Linked DNA regions of Arabidopsis thaliana. The protein of the gene in region 1 interacts with the protein of each later gene in a pairwise test. Each region holds a gene or a part of one and is shown in the gene's direction. Other genes may lie near its edges.

Region 1 (4,569 bases):
CTTTGTGGACTAAATGATGAATTCTCTTACAGAGTTGAAATCATGAATTTGTTGATTTGAAAAAATAGAAGCAAACGACTCTGACCTCTTGATTGATCGGAGATGAAGACGAGGGCGAATATAAGTTCAACAACGACGGAGACGAAGCGAAAACCTCAGAGCGAATCCTAGGCAAGTAAACGATCGGTTTTGTTTCTTCTTCCATCGGTAAACCTCTCATCGGCGATGGTCGCCGCAAGTGATTACTCTGTCCGTCGCGGTGGCGATTAAGACTCGGCTCTGAGAAGCTTCTCTCGAAAACCTTATTACTCGATTTAGAGCGATTATTCTTGTCGGAAACATATCTGAAAGCTGTTCGTCTTGTTCTGGAGCTCCGACCTCCATTTCCTACAGGATTCGAAACTTTTCTCCGGTGAATCGAATCAGACATTTCGTGAATGATGATCTTTGCTTAAGGAGGAGGAAGAAGAAAAAACAATTGAGAGGTTTTGGTGGTTTGCTTGGCAAAGAAGCGAATTAAGAGTTATTCTCTGCTTTTGCTTTGCTTTACTCTTTTATTATCTTCTTTTCTTTCATTTGTATTTTTCAAATGTTTTTCCAAATCAAATTGTTTTTTTTTTTCTTTTTAACATAAGTGTGGATTTTAACATTTAAATTCAAACCGACCAAAAAAAATACACGATTAAAGGTAGTAATATAGACGTGGTTCTTGTAATATAGTATTTATATTTCCTGTCGACGATCGATTCTTTTATAGTATGATATCTTGTGCTGATTCTTACGTACTTGTGTTTATTATAGTAAAATAGAAATGCGTTGAATTGTAGCACTGTATTAGATTAAAACTTCTATGTAATTATGGAGCTAAAATGTTTTCTGGTTAGCATACGGAGTATTTTTTAAAAAATCTATCCTTATTATGGATAAAATGTGTTGGAAAAAGGCAATAATATACTTGTACAAATGAATATAAATTTCTTGATGCATTGTTTTAGAAGATTACTTGGGAGACTCACAATCCTATAAAGTGTAAAGGAAACAAAACTATTGGATTTGTAGAAAAGTTGACACGTTAAACAAGAAAACGAGAAACCCAAACAAGTTTCGTAAAACACAAAAAATCTAAGGTGATAGTGAGAAGCACATAAACAAATGAAAAAAAACACATAAACAATTAGAGAGGAGGGAGACTCAACTAGTATCATCAATTCATTAAATTTTACGAAAGTGCTGAGTAATGGAAGTAATATAAAAAATTTATAACCAAAAACAAGAATTCATCAACGTCAAGAAAAAACAACATAAAATAAAAAGGAGAATTTGTGTGGCTGAGATTGGTCCGAGGTTTGTTTCCACTGTTAAAAGAAAGAACTTTTGGGCTTGATTTAAAGTCATTAATGGTGTGGTCGACTTCTCTTATGCCATACGCACTCATGTTCACGCGTAACGCACTTGTTTTCCACCAAGTATTTAACAACGATCGTTTGTGACCCTTTTTTATGTATACTTGAAACTTAAAAAATATGTATTATTACATTTAAATATCATTTATTGTCATGACGAAAAAATTGTAAGACTTTATAATTTCAAATGTAACGTCACTTTTCGTGATGATGTAATACCATTCTATTACTTAAATACAATTGGCCAACAGCCTCAATTTATTTCAACCTTTTGCTATCTCTATAGTATAATGGTGTCATAAAAATTCATAGACACATTCCACAAAACTCGTGTATGTATATCCGTGTCTTTATATATATGTGTATATCCAAGTGTATAATAAAGTTTTTTTTCTTAAAAAAAAAAACAGAAATTTGTATGCACCATTTAAACAATTAAAGAAAGAAAATTGGGCCTACTCCAAACACAACGCTACTGTGGAGTACATTTTATCCATTTTAATGGCCCAATAATTTATAATGGGCTTTTAGTATGGGCCATTTTGTCCCTCTTTTTTATGTTGTAAGCGAGATCTTGAGACAATGTTAGTAATTTTGGTTTAATCCGGTTCAACAAGTAAACATCACACTTGTAAACTAAACCGATAATGCCACGTCACTACTCCAAATATTCGCCAAATCATAACAGACAAAATCCAACAACAACGACGACACTCTCCTCTCTCACTCTCTCTCTCAATCTCAATCTCAATCTCACGTCAACGACCGTCGCCGTCACCGGAAGGAAACGATTTCATCATCTTCTACAATGATCCCATACGCAACAATCGAAGAAGCGTCGATCGCATTATCTCGAAACCTCACATGGCTAGAGACTCTCTGGTTCGATTACTCCGCCACCAAATCCGATTACTACCTCTACTGCCACAACATTCTCTTCCTCTTCCTCATCTTCTCTCTCGTTCCTCTCCCTCTCGTTTTCATCGAATCATCTCAATCCACCTCAGATTTGTTCAATCGCTACAAAATCCAACCAAAAGTGAAAAACTCATTCTCATCGATGTTCAAATGTTACAAAGACGTCATGAAGATGTTCATCCTCGTCGTTGGTCCATTACAACTCGTTTCTTATCCTTCGATTCAGGTTAATTTCTGGAATTTGGCTTCTAATTTCGGAATTGATGCGATTTAGGTTGATTTTGTTTTTCGTGTGTTGAAACAGATGATTGAGATACGAAGTGGATTACCATTACCATCATGTATGGAGATTGTAGCACAGTTAGTGGTTTACTTCTTGGTAGAGGATTATACTAATTACTGGGTTCATAGATTCTTTCATTGTAAATGGGGTTATGAGAAGTTTCATCATATTCATCATGAGTATACAGCTCCTATTGGTTATGCTGCTCCTTATGCTCATTGGGCTGAGGTTTTGCTTCTTGGCATTCCCACGTTTCTTGGACCTGCTATTGCTCCTGGTCATATGATTACCTTTTGGTTGTGGATTGCTTTACGACAGATTGAGGCTATCGAAACTCATAGCGGGTAAGGAAAAGGAATGGTTTTGAATTGTTTATCTTAGTTTATAATGCGTTGGGGCTATGTGGGAAGTTTCAATAGTGCGTTTACCTTTTGTTGGTGGGGCTAAGGTTAGGCACTAGCCTTTTCTGATGCTTTATTGACTGTAATTAGCTCTAGGTGATTGTTTAGAGACTGCTTAGTTAATCTTTTGTGGTCAACATGAGCAAGAAATCATTCTTGAGATGATAAGCATCTTGTCTTGTTCAAATAAGTATTTGGACAATATGATGATTGCTTGGTGCATGAAACTTGTTTCTCTGGAGATAAATTGACTTGTTTTTTTTATTTTTCGTTTTCTTTTGAAGATATGATTTCCCATGGTCTCTGACAAAGTACATTCCATTTTATGGTGGAGCTGAGTATCATGATTACCATCACTACGTTGGAGGACAAAGCCAGAGTAACTTTGCTTCAGTTTTTACTTACTGCGATTACATCTATGGAACTGATAAAGTGAGTAATGAAACTTCAGTTCTTTTCCGGTTAGCGTCTACTAATTCTGGATAAAAATTTGACAATGTGGGTATATGTTCTTATTTTCATCAGGGTTACCGATTCCAGAAGAAGCTTCTTCAGCAGGTAAATAAATACTCCATAAACTGAGACTAGCTTATCTCTCGGCATACCGCATACCCATAAACGCAGCCATCAAATTGCAAGCTCACATAACAGTATATGTGGTATCTAGTATCATCATATTGATGATATGTTTCTTGATGCTATATCTTATGAGTTGCAGATGAAGGAGAAGTCCAAGAAGAGCAACAAGCTGGTTAATGGAGGAGAGAAATTCGATTAGTAAATCTAAAACCCCTCGCGAGGTTGACTTACCGTAAGTTTCAAGCATTCTACAAATGTAGTCAATACTTAAAAATGAAAGGGTAGTTAGTTTTCTCTGTTCTGGTCTTCCCTGTGTCACATGAAAATGCTCGTGACGAGTTCCTATCTGAAGTTTTTTTTAAAACTCTTTTGGAATTGGTGTGTGTCAATAAATCCTTTTTGTATATTTTAAATGTTACATAGTGCATTCATTGGCTTGTAACAAGTTCCTACTCTGATAGTATTAAGTTAAGTTAAGTATAACTTAAGTATCTAACGTTAACAACAAGGCCCGTCTAGCTCAGTTGGTAGAGCGCAAGGCTCTTAACCTTGTGGTCGTGGGTTCGAGCCCCACGGTGGGCGTTTCTTTTCCTTTTTGTTGCATTTGAGTGGCATGATTTAAAAGGAAAATCCTTACCATAACGATAGTTGCATTGATGATGGGGGTCGATTTCACTCTCGGAAAACAAATCTAATCAAAGAAGGCTAAAACAAGCGAAACACATGCATTTACTAAAGCTGTCTCACCAAACTTGAAAACAACAGTTTTAAGTACAGTAGTAGGTACAATAACTTATTTAGTTGTTACCAACTAATTTATGACTTTAAAATCGAAACACTCTCTTCCTTCCTGTGTTTTTTCAACTAAACCTAACAACACACAGTTTTTCTTTAACACACATTTCCTTGTTCTCGTTGTCTTAGAATTACCATGGACACAGTGAATATGATAATAACTTCAAGAATGGGGTTGTAGCTGTGTGAG
Region 2 (6,956 bases), on another chromosome or scaffold:
GGACCACAAGAAAATAATTATAGTTGTTTTTTTTTTGGTTAAACAAAAAATTGATTATAGTTATGATATGGAAAAGATGGAAGAAGTCATTTAATAAGTTTATCTAACAATCTATGATTAGGTTATCGCAGTAATGAATTTTCTTTCTTAGCAGAAATGAATAATTTAGTCACACTAACTACATAGCTTTAATTTCTGTTGATACAATTGAAGACAAGAAGACATAAACGTTGAAACAGTGTATTTGGTACTGTGTATGTGTTTGATTAGCACGAAACATGGTTAAAAACATCACATGGTTAAAACAAATCCGTCACCATCTGTTTTTTTTTTTTTTTTTACAACATACTTGTTTTCCATTCGTCATATCCGAAAGAGAATAAATTTGCAAGCTCTTCAAATTCATGGTTCGGTATTATAATCTTAAAAAAAATATATAAACTTACAATATAAATAGAACGATAGGTTTGATAAACAATAAAAATAGATGATAGGGGGCCATAAATAAAAACTCGAAAACAAAAGTTAAATAGCAAAATGCAACAAGCAAGCTCATGATGTGTCGAATACACTTCTGCAAACAATTTGGGGGAGATTAAAAATAGTCACTATAAAAAAAATCTTATGACGTTGAGAATCCGTCTTTTGCCTCAAAAATTACCAACACGAACCACATTGAAGCAGCAAGGAACATTGGACGGTTTCTTTCCAGAGGCAGAAACTAAATAGTATATCTCAATAAGAAATTTAACATACGACCAAAATTAATTGCTTTATAAAAATAATTAAAATATTAATGATAACCTTTTCCGTGGTTAATTTTCGGCCATTATGATAAAATAATTGATCCAATCATATGTTTACACAACATACTTAAAATTCCTTATATACTCTCTTGATTACTTTCTTACCAGTTACATAAACTCAATATGCAACAACTAGATTACTTTAATCTAAACGTTCTGATATACGGCCTTATGTCGATGTTAAGTTATATATATCACGTTCACAATGTATATAAATAATTCAAATAATTTTCCAAAAGTAATGGCGTCTAAATATAGTTGAGTTGAATAGTATAGACTCTCCTCATGGATTTGAATTTCCTCTGTGATTCGTTTGAAAAAAAACAATGTTTTGGAGTGCTATACTAGTTGATACACCCAACCAAATCGGAATTTTATAAAAAATTTGGACAAAATTACCAGAAAATAAAATTATTGCAATTTACGTGATATATACCCTAAAGTGTTATGTTTCCTTAAATCGTGTAACGAAACCATAAGTTTCTTATCATGCGGATGTCTGTAGCTCTCGACATATATAGTACCGAACGGGTCCAACGAGTAAATGAATATAACATCAAACGTCAATTTTTCTGTCACATGCCTCGTCTATGCATGCATGATAGTGTACATATATAATAGTTTCCTTTCTGTCTTTTACACTATTCTTAATCCACTTTTCTGTTTTGCATGGGTAGATATTTTGTTTTGGTTTCATAAAATAAATAGAAACCAATATCATTTAGTTTGGTTCGATTTTTCTTCGGATTCTAAATTTTTTTTATTTTATTTTAACTAAACTATATGTTTTATTTATTTTTAGTCATGATTTATTTTATATATCAAAAATATGTAACCGAATTTATTACATCTAGTTTTTTCCAATCACTTTCTTTGGTACAGTTTCGGTTTGACTCAAATTAGTTTAAACCAATTTGGACCACCCTAATTTATACATTTTTTTTTTCAAAGACCCTAGTTCTCTTAATACATTCACCGCACAACTTTTTATAACTATAAATAAGGCCACAAGCATTCACACACATTACACTTTTCTCTCCCAAAGAAACAAAAAAAAAAACTCTTAAGCTAGAACAAGTTTAAAACTCTTCGCTCAGTTTTCGATCTATCTAACAAAAGCATACATGACTACGCCGGAGGGGGCGATGTATGTGGCGTGGGAGGATCTTACGGTGGTGATACCAAACTTCGGTGAAGGAGCAACTAAGAGATTACTGAATGGAGTGAATGGTTGTGGTGAGCCAAATAGGATCTTAGCTATTATGGGTCCTTCAGGTTCAGGCAAATCTACGCTTCTTGATGCTTTAGCAGGTCCCTTCTCTCTCTCTCAGACACACACACCCATACATGTCAAGATTAGCTCGTCGTTTTTATTATGTATTTCTTTTATTGTTAAATGGTTTTCCTCTATTATATAAATCTCAAATAAGCTGAAGCAACATCGACCAACAATTAAAAGATATAGTTTTTAGAGGAATTTAACAACCAACCACATTTAGCTTTGAAACCAACATTAAAGGATGAGACTTACCCACTTTGAACCTAGTATTTAGTGAATCGTTCTATGTACTCTATATATATATATATATAACTATAATTAACAATATACATGACGTTATGTCTTTCTTTTAAAAAATTGTCCAAGGAAACTTTCTCAATATACTATGTAAAAAGTGTTTCACTTTTGGAAAATAAGAAATTTCTGTTTTCTTACATTAAAAAATATTCACAAATCTTTTAGTAATTTTTATTTGGAATTGATAAGGATTTCTGCCATTCGTAGTTAAATTTGAGAATATAAGTTAGAATTTATTTGTTAGATATATATATATATATATATATATAGGTGTATGTCTGTGCGTGGGTGGGTGTGTGTCCTATTCAACATAAAATATTTAATTATTATTAACCTGTAAATTCGTATGTAATCAAAATTAACTAATATGATACTTGATTAGTTTTTTGTATATTGGAAAAATACATTACTACAATAAAATTGATAACTTTCCTATTTGAAAGCAACAAACTATGTACATACTGTATCAGTATCACAATTTGGTGAAATGAAAATATTAACTGAAGTTTTTGTACTCTTCTGTAATTTTTTTTTTTTTTCTTCTGTAACTTTGACCAAACGTAACATATATATATGTAAAAGAAATTTGAGAGCATGATATAACATATTTATGTATCAAGATATTTATAACTATTGAAAAACAGTGCTATATTTATATCTAAGTTTCATGTACACGATGAGACATATATAGATATTTCTAACTTTATATTTATGGATTCTAGCTACCAATTTTATTTTTTAAGTATAGCTATATACTATCGGAGTACTAAATAAATATTAAAAAAAAAATAGTTGCAATTTTCATGTTCTTAATTAATAAATTTACATCGTCGTACATTTAGTATTGAATAAATTGATAGTTACGTTTCTCTAACGTAGACTATGTACAGAAATTTTGCAGTAACATTTCTTATTAAATCATATTTTAAATGTTAACCAACTACCAATCACCAATATTCTGACACAAATATTTAGGATTGCACGATCGTATCTTCATACCGACTTGCGATCTCTTCACAAGTTGAACCCGGTTTGGTGACTGGTCGGACTCTTTGAGGGATGTTACGTTCAATCCAAAAACAATCCAAATCGATTATTATTTTCTTGACCAAACCTAAATTTGATTGGATTAAGAAGATCTTTATTTTATGCTTATGACTAATCGAAACCAATTTAATTTTACTGTGGCTAATATTCTTGTAAAAGCGAAAAACCCAAAACCGGGTTATAAGATTGTTCTATCAATGCTATAAGATTGTTCAAAAACATGAAAGATTTAACATCTAACATTAAAAGGTAAATTTGGTGATGGTACAGGAAGATTAGCAGGGAATGTTGTAATGAGTGGCAAAGTACTTGTCAATGGCAAGAAGAGAAGACTTGACTTTGGTGCTGCCGTAAGAAAATTTATCTTTTCTCTTTAGTTTTTACCCTTTTACACAATCAAACTATTATTATTCATGAATGTCCTAAACTCTCAGGCTTATGTGACGCAAGAAGATGTGTTGCTAGGAACTTTGACAGTGAGAGAATCCATATCTTACTCGGCTCATCTCAGGCTCCCTTCAAAGCTTACCAGAGAAGAGATCAGTGACATTGTGGAAGCTACAATCACTGACATGGGTCTTGAAGAATGTTCAGACAGGACCATTGGAAACTGGCATTTGCGTGGAATAAGCGGAGGAGAGAAGAAACGGCTTAGTATTGCCCTCGAGGTCTTAACAAAACCAAGTCTCCTCTTTCTAGACGAACCAACTAGTGGACTGGACAGTGCTTCAGCTTTCTTCGTGGTTCAGATTCTTAGAAACATAGCAAGCAGTGGCAAAACTGTGGTTTCTTCGATCCATCAGCCGAGTGGTGAGGTTTTCGCCCTCTTTGATGACCTGCTACTTCTGTCTGGAGGAGAAACTGTTTACTTTGGCGAAGCAGAATCTGCAACAAAGGTAATAAGATAGAGCATTGGCAAGAGTATATAACCATTATGCTCATTTGTGTTGTTGTTGCTTCGACATTGCAGTTCTTTGGTGAAGCAGGTTTTCCTTGTCCAAGTAGACGGAATCCATCAGACCACTTCCTTCGCTGTGTCAATTCCGATTTCGATAATGTCACAGCGGCTTTGGTTGAATCTCGGAGAATCAACGTTTGTTTTCCTCTGCCCTTCTTGTTTTTTCATGAACTTACAATACTCTCAAGCTTTTGACCTCGACCTTTTACATCTGCAGGATTCATCTTTCTCTCTTCACCAACTACATGAAACTACAAACACATTAGATCCTCTGGATGATATACCAACTGCAGAAATTAGAACAACACTTGTCAGAAAATTTAAGTGTTCACTTTATGCAGCAGCTTCAAGAGCAAGAATTCAAGAAATAGCATCGATAGTAAGTTACGGTTACTACTTCCCTTAAAACTACAATGTATCACATAATGAGAGTCTCATAAGCACAGTTATAAACCTTGTGCAACAGGTGGGGATTGTCACAGAAAGGAAAAAGGGGAGCCAAACTAATTGGTGGAAACAACTCAGAATACTTACTCAGCGATCTTTCATCAACATGAGTAGAGACTTGGGGTACTACTGGATGCGGATTGCAGTCTACATAGTGTTATCCATTTGTGTCGGGTCAATCTTCTTCAACGTCGGGAGAAACCACACAAATGTTATGAGTACTGCAGCTTGTGGCGGATTTATGGCAGGCTTTATGACATTCATGTCAATAGGAGGATTCCAATCCTTCATTGAAGAAATGAAGGTAAAGAGCTAAACAGAGAAAAATTCTCTTTCTTCACCTAAAAACTTATCTTATGTTTTAGCATCTTTATTCCTGAAAACAGGTGTTTTCTCGCGAAAGGCTCAATGGACACTATGGGGTTGCAGTATACACTGTGTCTAATTTACTCTCCTCATTACCTTTCATAATCCTTATGTGCCTCTCCACCAGCTCAATCACTATCTACATGGTGAGGTTCCAATCCGGAGGTTCTCATTTCTTCTACAACTGTCTCGACCTTATCTGCGCGATTACAACTGTGGAGAGTTGCATGATGATGATAGCTTCAGTAGTCCCTAACTTCTTGATGGGAGTCATGTTGGGAGCTGGTTACATTGTAAGAGTGGCCTCTGTCGCTCTTTCACCTACAAGCTTTCTTATATCTCCAAAAACTATTCTAAATTGAAAACCGCTTTATCCTTCATCTCATAGGGAATTATGGTGTTAAGTGCGGGGTTTTTCCGATTCTTCCCCGACTTACCAATGGTGTTCTGGCGATACCCGGTGTCCTACATAAACTATGGTGCATGGGCACTACAGGTAACCAGGTTTTCTCAACTTTAAGATGCAGACTATATCGTCAAGTAGCTATCTTAAATGAGCATACCTGATAAATTGCAGGGAGCATACAAGAATGAGATGATTGGGGTGGAGTATGATTCTCCGTTACCCTTGGTACCAAAAATGAAAGGAGAACTCATTCTTCAAACTGTTCTAGGCATAAATCCAGAAAGTTCAAAGTGGTTGGATCTAGCAGTTGTGATGATGATTCTCATTGGGTATAGGATTGCCTTCTTCGCCATCCTCAAGTTCCGGGAAAAGGTTTTCCCAGTTATTCACATGTTATACACAAAGAGAACTCTGAGCCATATCCAGAAAAGGCCTTCTTTCAGAAGAATGACACCTTTCCCTTCCAGGCGATACCCTGTTCACCATGCTCTCTCTTCTCAGGAAGGACTTAACTCTCCACTGCATTAGAAGCATATACAGCAGGATGCAATTTCCATATATTTCAATATGTCAGATGTCACTCTCTTCAAACTTGATAAACTGTTTGTAGCCCGTTGTGTAAGGAAAAAAAAAAGAAAAGAGAGATACTATCATTCTGACTAATGAGATTTGTTTAGCATGAGGATGGTATCTATCAGAGATACATATATTGGAGAAAAAAGATAAGCATGGCTACATTATCAGATTACAAGTGATGCATGCATGAACCCCTAAGAGAGAGTCTACCAACGAACCACCGTAAATATATCAAATAAGGCACTTCGTTTGCTAACATAGCTTCAGAAGAAACTGTGTTATGGAAATCAAATAAACAGAAGATGGTATGGAGATTTGTTACCTGGCTGGCAGTAGAACACTGGTCCTTGCTTGATAGCACCAGTGACGCAAATCTATAATCTGTGCAGCACAAGAACAGAACAGACCAGGCATATTTGACTTTTATCACTAAGTGCCATGAAATCTCCTCTTTTAGCATATAGTTGATAGGGAATAGAATCAAAACTAACAAAAGTAACCTCCCAAAGGCGTTTGTTGAACAGATAGAGAACAAACAACGAGATACTTAAAACCTTAAAAGTGTAAAACCAAGCAAAAATGGTAAATTTTCAACTTTGGGAACCCAAATATAAGCTCCCAGAAATATTACATAGTAAGGAAAAAAAATACACAAACAATCAATAACTTTAAACAAATATGGCTAATCCAGTTGTAAAATCAGAAAAAACCAGTCTGATTATTTTAGAGTAGACATGTACAGAACTCATTTGTTGTTCATTTGCTACCCTATGA
Region 3 (6,090 bases), on another chromosome or scaffold:
CAGAAGAAGAATGATAAAGAAGTTGTTACCACTACTCCGGTGGCTTCTTCCGTGGAGGAGCAGGCTGGTCAATTGGTGGCAACACTTGAGTCTGGTATGACTCTCGGTTCTGGCGAGTACTTCATGGACGTGTTGGTTGGTTCGCCACCAAAACACTTCTCCTTGATTCTTGATACAGGGAGTGACTTAAACTGGATTCAATGCTTGCCTTGCTACGACTGTTTCCAGCAAAACGGTGCGTTTTATGACCCTAAAGCCTCTGCTTCTTACAAGAACATAACTTGCAATGACCAAAGATGCAACCTAGTCTCATCACCTGACCCTCCAATGCCCTGCAAATCAGATAACCAATCATGCCCTTACTACTACTGGTATGGGGATAGCTCCAACACTACCGGAGATTTTGCAGTAGAGACTTTCACGGTTAACCTCACGACAAATGGAGGGAGCTCGGAGTTGTATAATGTTGAAAATATGATGTTCGGTTGCGGTCATTGGAACCGAGGTCTCTTCCATGGTGCTGCAGGCTTGCTTGGTTTAGGAAGAGGCCCGCTTTCGTTTTCCTCTCAGCTTCAGTCTCTTTATGGTCATTCCTTCTCTTATTGCCTTGTCGACAGAAACAGCGATACCAACGTTAGTAGCAAACTGATTTTCGGAGAAGACAAGGATTTGTTAAGTCACCCGAATCTGAACTTCACTTCTTTTGTCGCTGGGAAAGAAAACCTCGTCGACACATTTTACTACGTACAAATCAAATCCATTCTAGTCGCGGGAGAAGTTCTAAACATACCTGAAGAAACATGGAATATCTCATCAGATGGAGCTGGAGGGACGATCATTGATTCAGGTACAACCTTAAGTTACTTCGCAGAACCTGCATATGAATTCATCAAGAACAAGATTGCTGAGAAAGCTAAAGGGAAGTATCCGGTCTATAGAGATTTTCCAATCCTAGATCCTTGCTTCAACGTCTCTGGCATTCATAACGTTCAGCTGCCAGAGCTTGGGATTGCTTTTGCAGATGGCGCTGTTTGGAACTTCCCGACAGAGAATTCTTTCATATGGTTGAATGAGGATTTGGTTTGCTTGGCAATGCTAGGAACTCCCAAATCAGCATTTTCAATCATTGGAAACTACCAGCAGCAGAATTTTCATATACTCTATGATACAAAGAGGTCTAGGCTCGGGTATGCACCTACAAAGTGTGCAGATATATAATCTTTCTTGTCGATTTTTAAGTCCATCAAAGCAACTGAACACACAATAAGAACAGATTCATTTTTTTCCCTTTAGATTTTTTCATTCTTTAGGATATTCCTTCAAACATGTAATGTATTTGCTGTAGAACAAAGATCATACCAAACTAATGTACTTATTCAAATTCATTTCTGAATACAAAGTGATTTAATTTTGCTTGCTACATGCATTTTCTCAAACTCTATAGTCTACCATCAATGACAAGTAAATTTGTAGTCACTGGAATTGTCAAAGTTTGATTAGTAATCCCTGAATTGTTTGTGAGTTTAGGACTCACTTTGGTAAGGTTTTAAGGCAAAGGAGTTGTCAAATCATCGTCTTTGTTGATCCAATTTGAAAGAAATGCAGAAAATCTAGAGAAATTGGAAACTAAAGAAGCTTGAGTCTATTGCAGAACACAAACTATACAAAAGAAATCGGATTATGTACCTGAGCATGGTCGGAGAAGAGAGTTGCAGAAAAGAGGTGTCTCTGTTTTGCAAAAATAACTCGTTTAGTTCTGATTTTTACAAAAAACCCTCATTTTACATCTTCTAACAATAATTAATAATTAATTTTAGTTAAAGAGATATTGATTACTTAATAATTCTTTTAAGCCAAGAGTAATTAATTAATTAATTTATGGCAGTAATTGTTGTATATTCTAGTGTGCCGTACCACTTGTAGCAATTAAATTTAGTAGATAGTATATTGTGTTGTCCAGGAAATATATAAATATAAAAAATAATTTTTATTTTTGTCTCTCAGACCAGACCCAACCCATCTCCTACAACCATCTGTCTCGGTGGTGTTCTTTGATCCTCTCTCTCTTACAAACCTAAAATCTAGGCATTCGATCTCTTGGGGAGGATCGAGAAGAAAAGAGCGGATTCACGATGAAGATCTTAGCGACTCTTTTCGAATCAACCAAGGATAAATGCTATGCTCCTAGCTTCATCGCCGTCAATCTCTGTTTGGCTTTTATCGATGCCGCTCTTGCTTTCATCGCATTCCTTCAGGTTCTGATTCTTGGTTCTTCTGATTTCCTGAAAGAAAAAGAAAAAATCAGTCTTGATTTGTGAATGCTAGATTGTGTGTGACCGTTAAGGCCTGTTCGGACAGGTGAAGCATTGTGCTTATTGATTAAACGAGATGTGAGATTATTGATTCTTGATGTTGAATTTAATGAATTGGTTGATTTCAGTCTTTAGAGTTGTGTGTCTGTTGTTCATGTGGTTGACCATTAAGTTTAAAGGTCAACTCTATGAATAACTCACGGAGCTGAAGTGTGTTTGTGTAGAATGAGAGATTTGGATTCAGGGAATCTGAATATGATATGAATTATTAGCATTAGAAAGTAGAATCTTTTTTTCTTTTTTAAGTGCTATGTGTGTAGATTAAGATGTTCTTTTCAAAGGTTCCTATGTAGTTTTAGACGGTGAAGTAATAAAAAAAAAGTCTTATTCTCTTCTTTTTTTGTGGGGTTTGGCTTATAAGATTTATCTTGGCTGCCTACTTCTTTCAGTTATCTCGATTTCACAGGCGGAATAAACAAGTTGGATGGACTCGGCAAAAAGTATTTCTTCTCATCCCAACCAATTTAGGCTCTATGTTATTGTTATATGGTTACAGTTATTGTTACTTTTCATGGCGTGTATCTGACACATCCATCATGAAAATTGCAGGTACTTCATCTTATGATTGCTTCTTCAAACACTGGTAAATCCTCAGTCATTTGTTGTTCAGGAACAATTATAATTGGGGGAAGTTTTAGCCAGTGAGTAAGGTCTCTATTCGTATATATTGGCAGGTTCTGTTATTTATTTCGTGGCTGCGGTTATAGCGACTTGCACAAGGTGGCATCATTGGTCCAACGCATTAGGTTTTCTACTCATGGGTAAATATTTCATTCCTTTGTGAAGGTTTGTGTATGTTTTTCATTGATTTGTCTTATAGTTAATTCCCTGATGAATCAAATTGTACTTGCAGCCTTTCCCAAAATTCTGTTTCTGGCAACTTTTCTCCTGCTTCTCTCTTTCTGGTATGTATATTCTCAATACTCTGATCATATTGTGTTGTCCCTGATTATTTTATCTTAATAATGATCTGAGATAAGACAATGATGCTTCTTCATGTTATAGGGTAGATGTTTGCCATCAGGGAAATGGAGAGGAGGATGATGATGATGATGAAGAAAATAGCATCCAACAAGTGTTGCTTGAAAAAAGCAAGAGCAAGCCAGGTTCTTCGAATGCAAGTGATCGTAGAAAGTGTTGCTCTTTCCATGGTATTCATGTTGGAACCCGGCAGAAGTTTGTTGTTGCGGTATGGGATACTTTCAGTTTTGTGCATTAACCTCTAGCCAAGTCATTTCTATGATCTTTATAAAAATGTTTATCTTTTTTGCTAGGCAATTATTCTTGTGTTCATCTTAATGATATCATTTGCAATCCTTATCTGGATCGCTTCCGGAAAGAATCCTATGAATTCTTCATTATTGGCTGAGGTATGTGGTATTCCTCTGCACATTGATATTTCCTCTTTCACTAAGTTCTTAAGCTCGAGAAATAGAAGACTTTTGTCTATATTTTTTCTGGTTTTATGATAAACTCACTTCCTTATATAGGTGTATGTCGATATTTTTGCTGCAATAATCCTAATCACTGGAGGAGGAATCTGCTTCTATGGTAAGTGATTTCTTAAGTTCTTTTCTGGTTTCAGCTATTCATATTTTTCTTCTAGCAATTCGTGAGATGTTTTGGTCAGTGGTTTACTGGCTTATTGCTATGATTGAACAGCGTATATTCACAAACTCTTTTATGTTCTTTAGGCCTGCGTCTGCTCTTTAATCTAAGAAAGGTGCGGTCTGAACAAGTTTCATCAGAGATGCGAAAGGTAACTAATGATTCTTTGGCTCAACAAGCTTTTCTTTCTTTGCACATGTCAGTCGAATCCTTACCCTGAAAGTACATTTTAACCATTTATAGGTATCGGGTCTAGCAGGAGTCTCAGTTGTTTGCTTCACTGTTAGCTCTTTAATCGCTCTTCTCACACACATTCCAGTAAGTCATTATCACTCAAAAAAGTATGTCTGTAAACCGAAACCTAACATTCGTCGATACATTTAACCAAAACCAATCTTTGATCTCAGCTCTTTTATCATTGGAACCCAAGCAAATTACACGGCATCAAAGCATTGGTTCTTCTGATCATATACTATTTCATAGGTGAAGATTTTTTTCTTTCGTTTTGTTGTTTTGAAGACCTTCAAATGCAGGGTTACTGATAAGAACGCTTTTTAAAGGTTCCACCGTCCCATTGGCTTTCGTTTTATGGGTTTTGCGGGAGTTACCCCCTCAAAACATTGTGAGTAGGCAAGAAGACACCAGAAGGATTACTTATGTCAACTATGAAACTGTTCCAAGGCAACCTCAAGGTCCTCAACAAGACTGGGCCTCCGCCACAGTGTCGAAAAATCAGGTATACAATTCTCTTGATGAACATCTAAATTAGGAAGTCATGTCTGACACATACAAGGAGTTTTATAGTAAGCTGTAAATGCATGCATCAGATAAACTAGGGGTGGGAATATAAACCGAAGCAAACCACAATATTTATAGCTAACTAACTCTATTTAGATAAGAAAAACTCAAACCGTATGCTCACTTTTAAGATAAACGCAATGTTGAGAGCATTCGAGAAAGGTTTGAACGAATTGCGGTCTGAACATGAATACATAGTTGAAACACTACGAAAAATCCTCAAATGAGAAAGAAGTTTTCATTCTATTAGTGACTTCTGAGGTTATTTCAGAGTTTCCTTTTTATCGACCATAGATTGTTTAGGGAGGTCACTTAACAGTTTTTGGTTCGGAAACGACGGCGCAGGTGTCTAAAGCAAGTCCTATATGAACCAAACAATCATCATAATCATTGACCTGAAGCAAACATCCGCCAATCTTCTTTTGTAGTTACCGGGAAAAAGCCTCGTGGGATTGCAGAATGGTTCTTAGGCCCAATGTGGTGTGTTGTGGTGGAGTGAATGAAAGTGGAAACAAGCTCGTTTTCTTCTCTCTGAGTCGCCTTGGAATACAAAAATTTGTTTATAAGATAGAAATGGAGGTTTGAATCTGAGAAAGCTGTCTGTAAATATTAACTTTTGATTGCAATTTATAGTTTAGCATCATGTGTTGGGGGGACTTGTGGATGGATATAAAATGTGTTCCAAGGAAGATATAATTTTGTCTTCCTTTCTAAACAGCGTCGTTTAAGCTGCTTTGTTATCATTTACATATACGACGACGCATCATTCTGGTTTTAAAGATGGCATATTACGTTTGAGATTAAACGCCACCGTTTTCGAAAGATAGCACGGGCATTATACGATGTCGTATTGCTTCCTCTTTCGAAAATTTGTTAGCGCGATTTTGTTAAACTTTTAGCGCCATTTTTTTTCACATTAAAAATTTGAGACCCCGAAACGGTATCGTTTGTTGGATGTTATCCTAAAATTGACGGATCTGATATGAAAAAAAAAATCCTTAAAAAAACCGTTTGAGAACTTTTTGGATATTTGTGGTCTTCTCTTTTCGTCTTTCTTCTCCACTGTCACCTTCCTCGCTAAGCAAAAGAATTTAGAGAGAGCTTCGTACTATGCCCAGAGAAAAAAGCAAAAAGCGAGAGCCAAAAAGATAAGAAAGATCAAAAGATGAAAAAGCTTAGACGTAAAAAAGCAGAAATATATGTATATAGAATTAACAAGTCTCTCGAAGAAAACCCTTTAGCCATCTTTATCAATCTCTTTTCTTTTGCGTTCTCTATAAAGTTGGTATAAAAGGAGATCAATTAACAAATA

What was found.
Region 2: the proteins of SMO1-2 (region 1) and ABCG13 interact in a protein complementation assay, tested with the Arabidopsis thaliana proteins (one large-scale study listed by BioGRID).
Region 3: the proteins of SMO1-2 (region 1) and Cand3 interact in a protein complementation assay, tested with the Arabidopsis thaliana proteins (one large-scale study listed by BioGRID).

What each region holds. Positions count from the first base shown.
Region 1 is NC_003075.7:11,954,338-11,958,906, reverse strand, and holds SMO1-2 (sterol C4-methyl oxidase 1-2), read left to right. Parts: upstream 1-1,988; 5' UTR 1,989-2,211; coding exon 2,212-2,547; intron 2,548-2,625; coding exon 2,626-2,948; intron 2,949-3,289; coding exon 3,290-3,437; intron 3,438-3,530; coding exon 3,531-3,563; intron 3,564-3,723; coding exon 3,724-3,783; 3' UTR 3,784-4,067; downstream 4,068-4,569. Other genes in the region: AT4G22758 (PPR containing protein), read right to left, coding at 86-430. UniProt on the Arabidopsis thaliana protein: Non-heme iron oxygenase involved in sterols biosynthesis by catalyzing the removal of the first methyl group at the C-4 position. 4,4-dimethyl-9-beta,19-cyclopropylsterols such as 24-methylenecycloartanol are the preferred substrates.
Region 2 is NC_003070.9:19,076,310-19,083,265, reverse strand, and holds ABCG13 (ABC-2 type transporter family protein), read left to right. Parts: upstream 1-1,814; 5' UTR 1,815-1,930; coding exon 1,931-2,117; intron 2,118-3,699; coding exon 3,700-3,779; intron 3,780-3,863; coding exon 3,864-4,325; intron 4,326-4,399; coding exon 4,400-4,522; intron 4,523-4,604; coding exon 4,605-4,766; intron 4,767-4,853; coding exon 4,854-5,138; intron 5,139-5,220; coding exon 5,221-5,493; intron 5,494-5,588; coding exon 5,589-5,696; intron 5,697-5,777; coding exon 5,778-6,134; 3' UTR 6,135-6,428; downstream 6,429-6,956.
Region 3 is NC_003074.8:21,837,202-21,843,291, forward strand, and holds Cand3 (tobamovirus multiplication protein), read left to right. Parts: upstream 1-1,983; 5' UTR 1,984-2,132; coding exon 2,133-2,255; intron 2,256-2,733; coding exon of another isoform or gene 2,734-2,761; coding exon 2,762-2,812; exon of another isoform or gene 2,813-2,921; coding exon 2,922-2,955; intron 2,956-3,046; coding exon 3,047-3,133; intron 3,134-3,225; coding exon 3,226-3,277; intron 3,278-3,377; coding exon 3,378-3,561; intron 3,562-3,646; coding exon 3,647-3,742; intron 3,743-3,862; coding exon 3,863-3,923; intron 3,924-4,066; coding exon 4,067-4,131; intron 4,132-4,223; coding exon 4,224-4,298; intron 4,299-4,387; coding exon 4,388-4,463; intron 4,464-4,540; coding exon 4,541-4,716; intron 4,717-5,123; coding exon of another isoform or gene 5,124-5,147; exon of another isoform or gene 5,148-5,206; coding exon 5,207-5,248; 3' UTR 5,249-5,562; downstream 5,563-6,090. Other genes in the region: AT3G59080 (Eukaryotic aspartyl protease family protein), read left to right, coding at 1-1,218.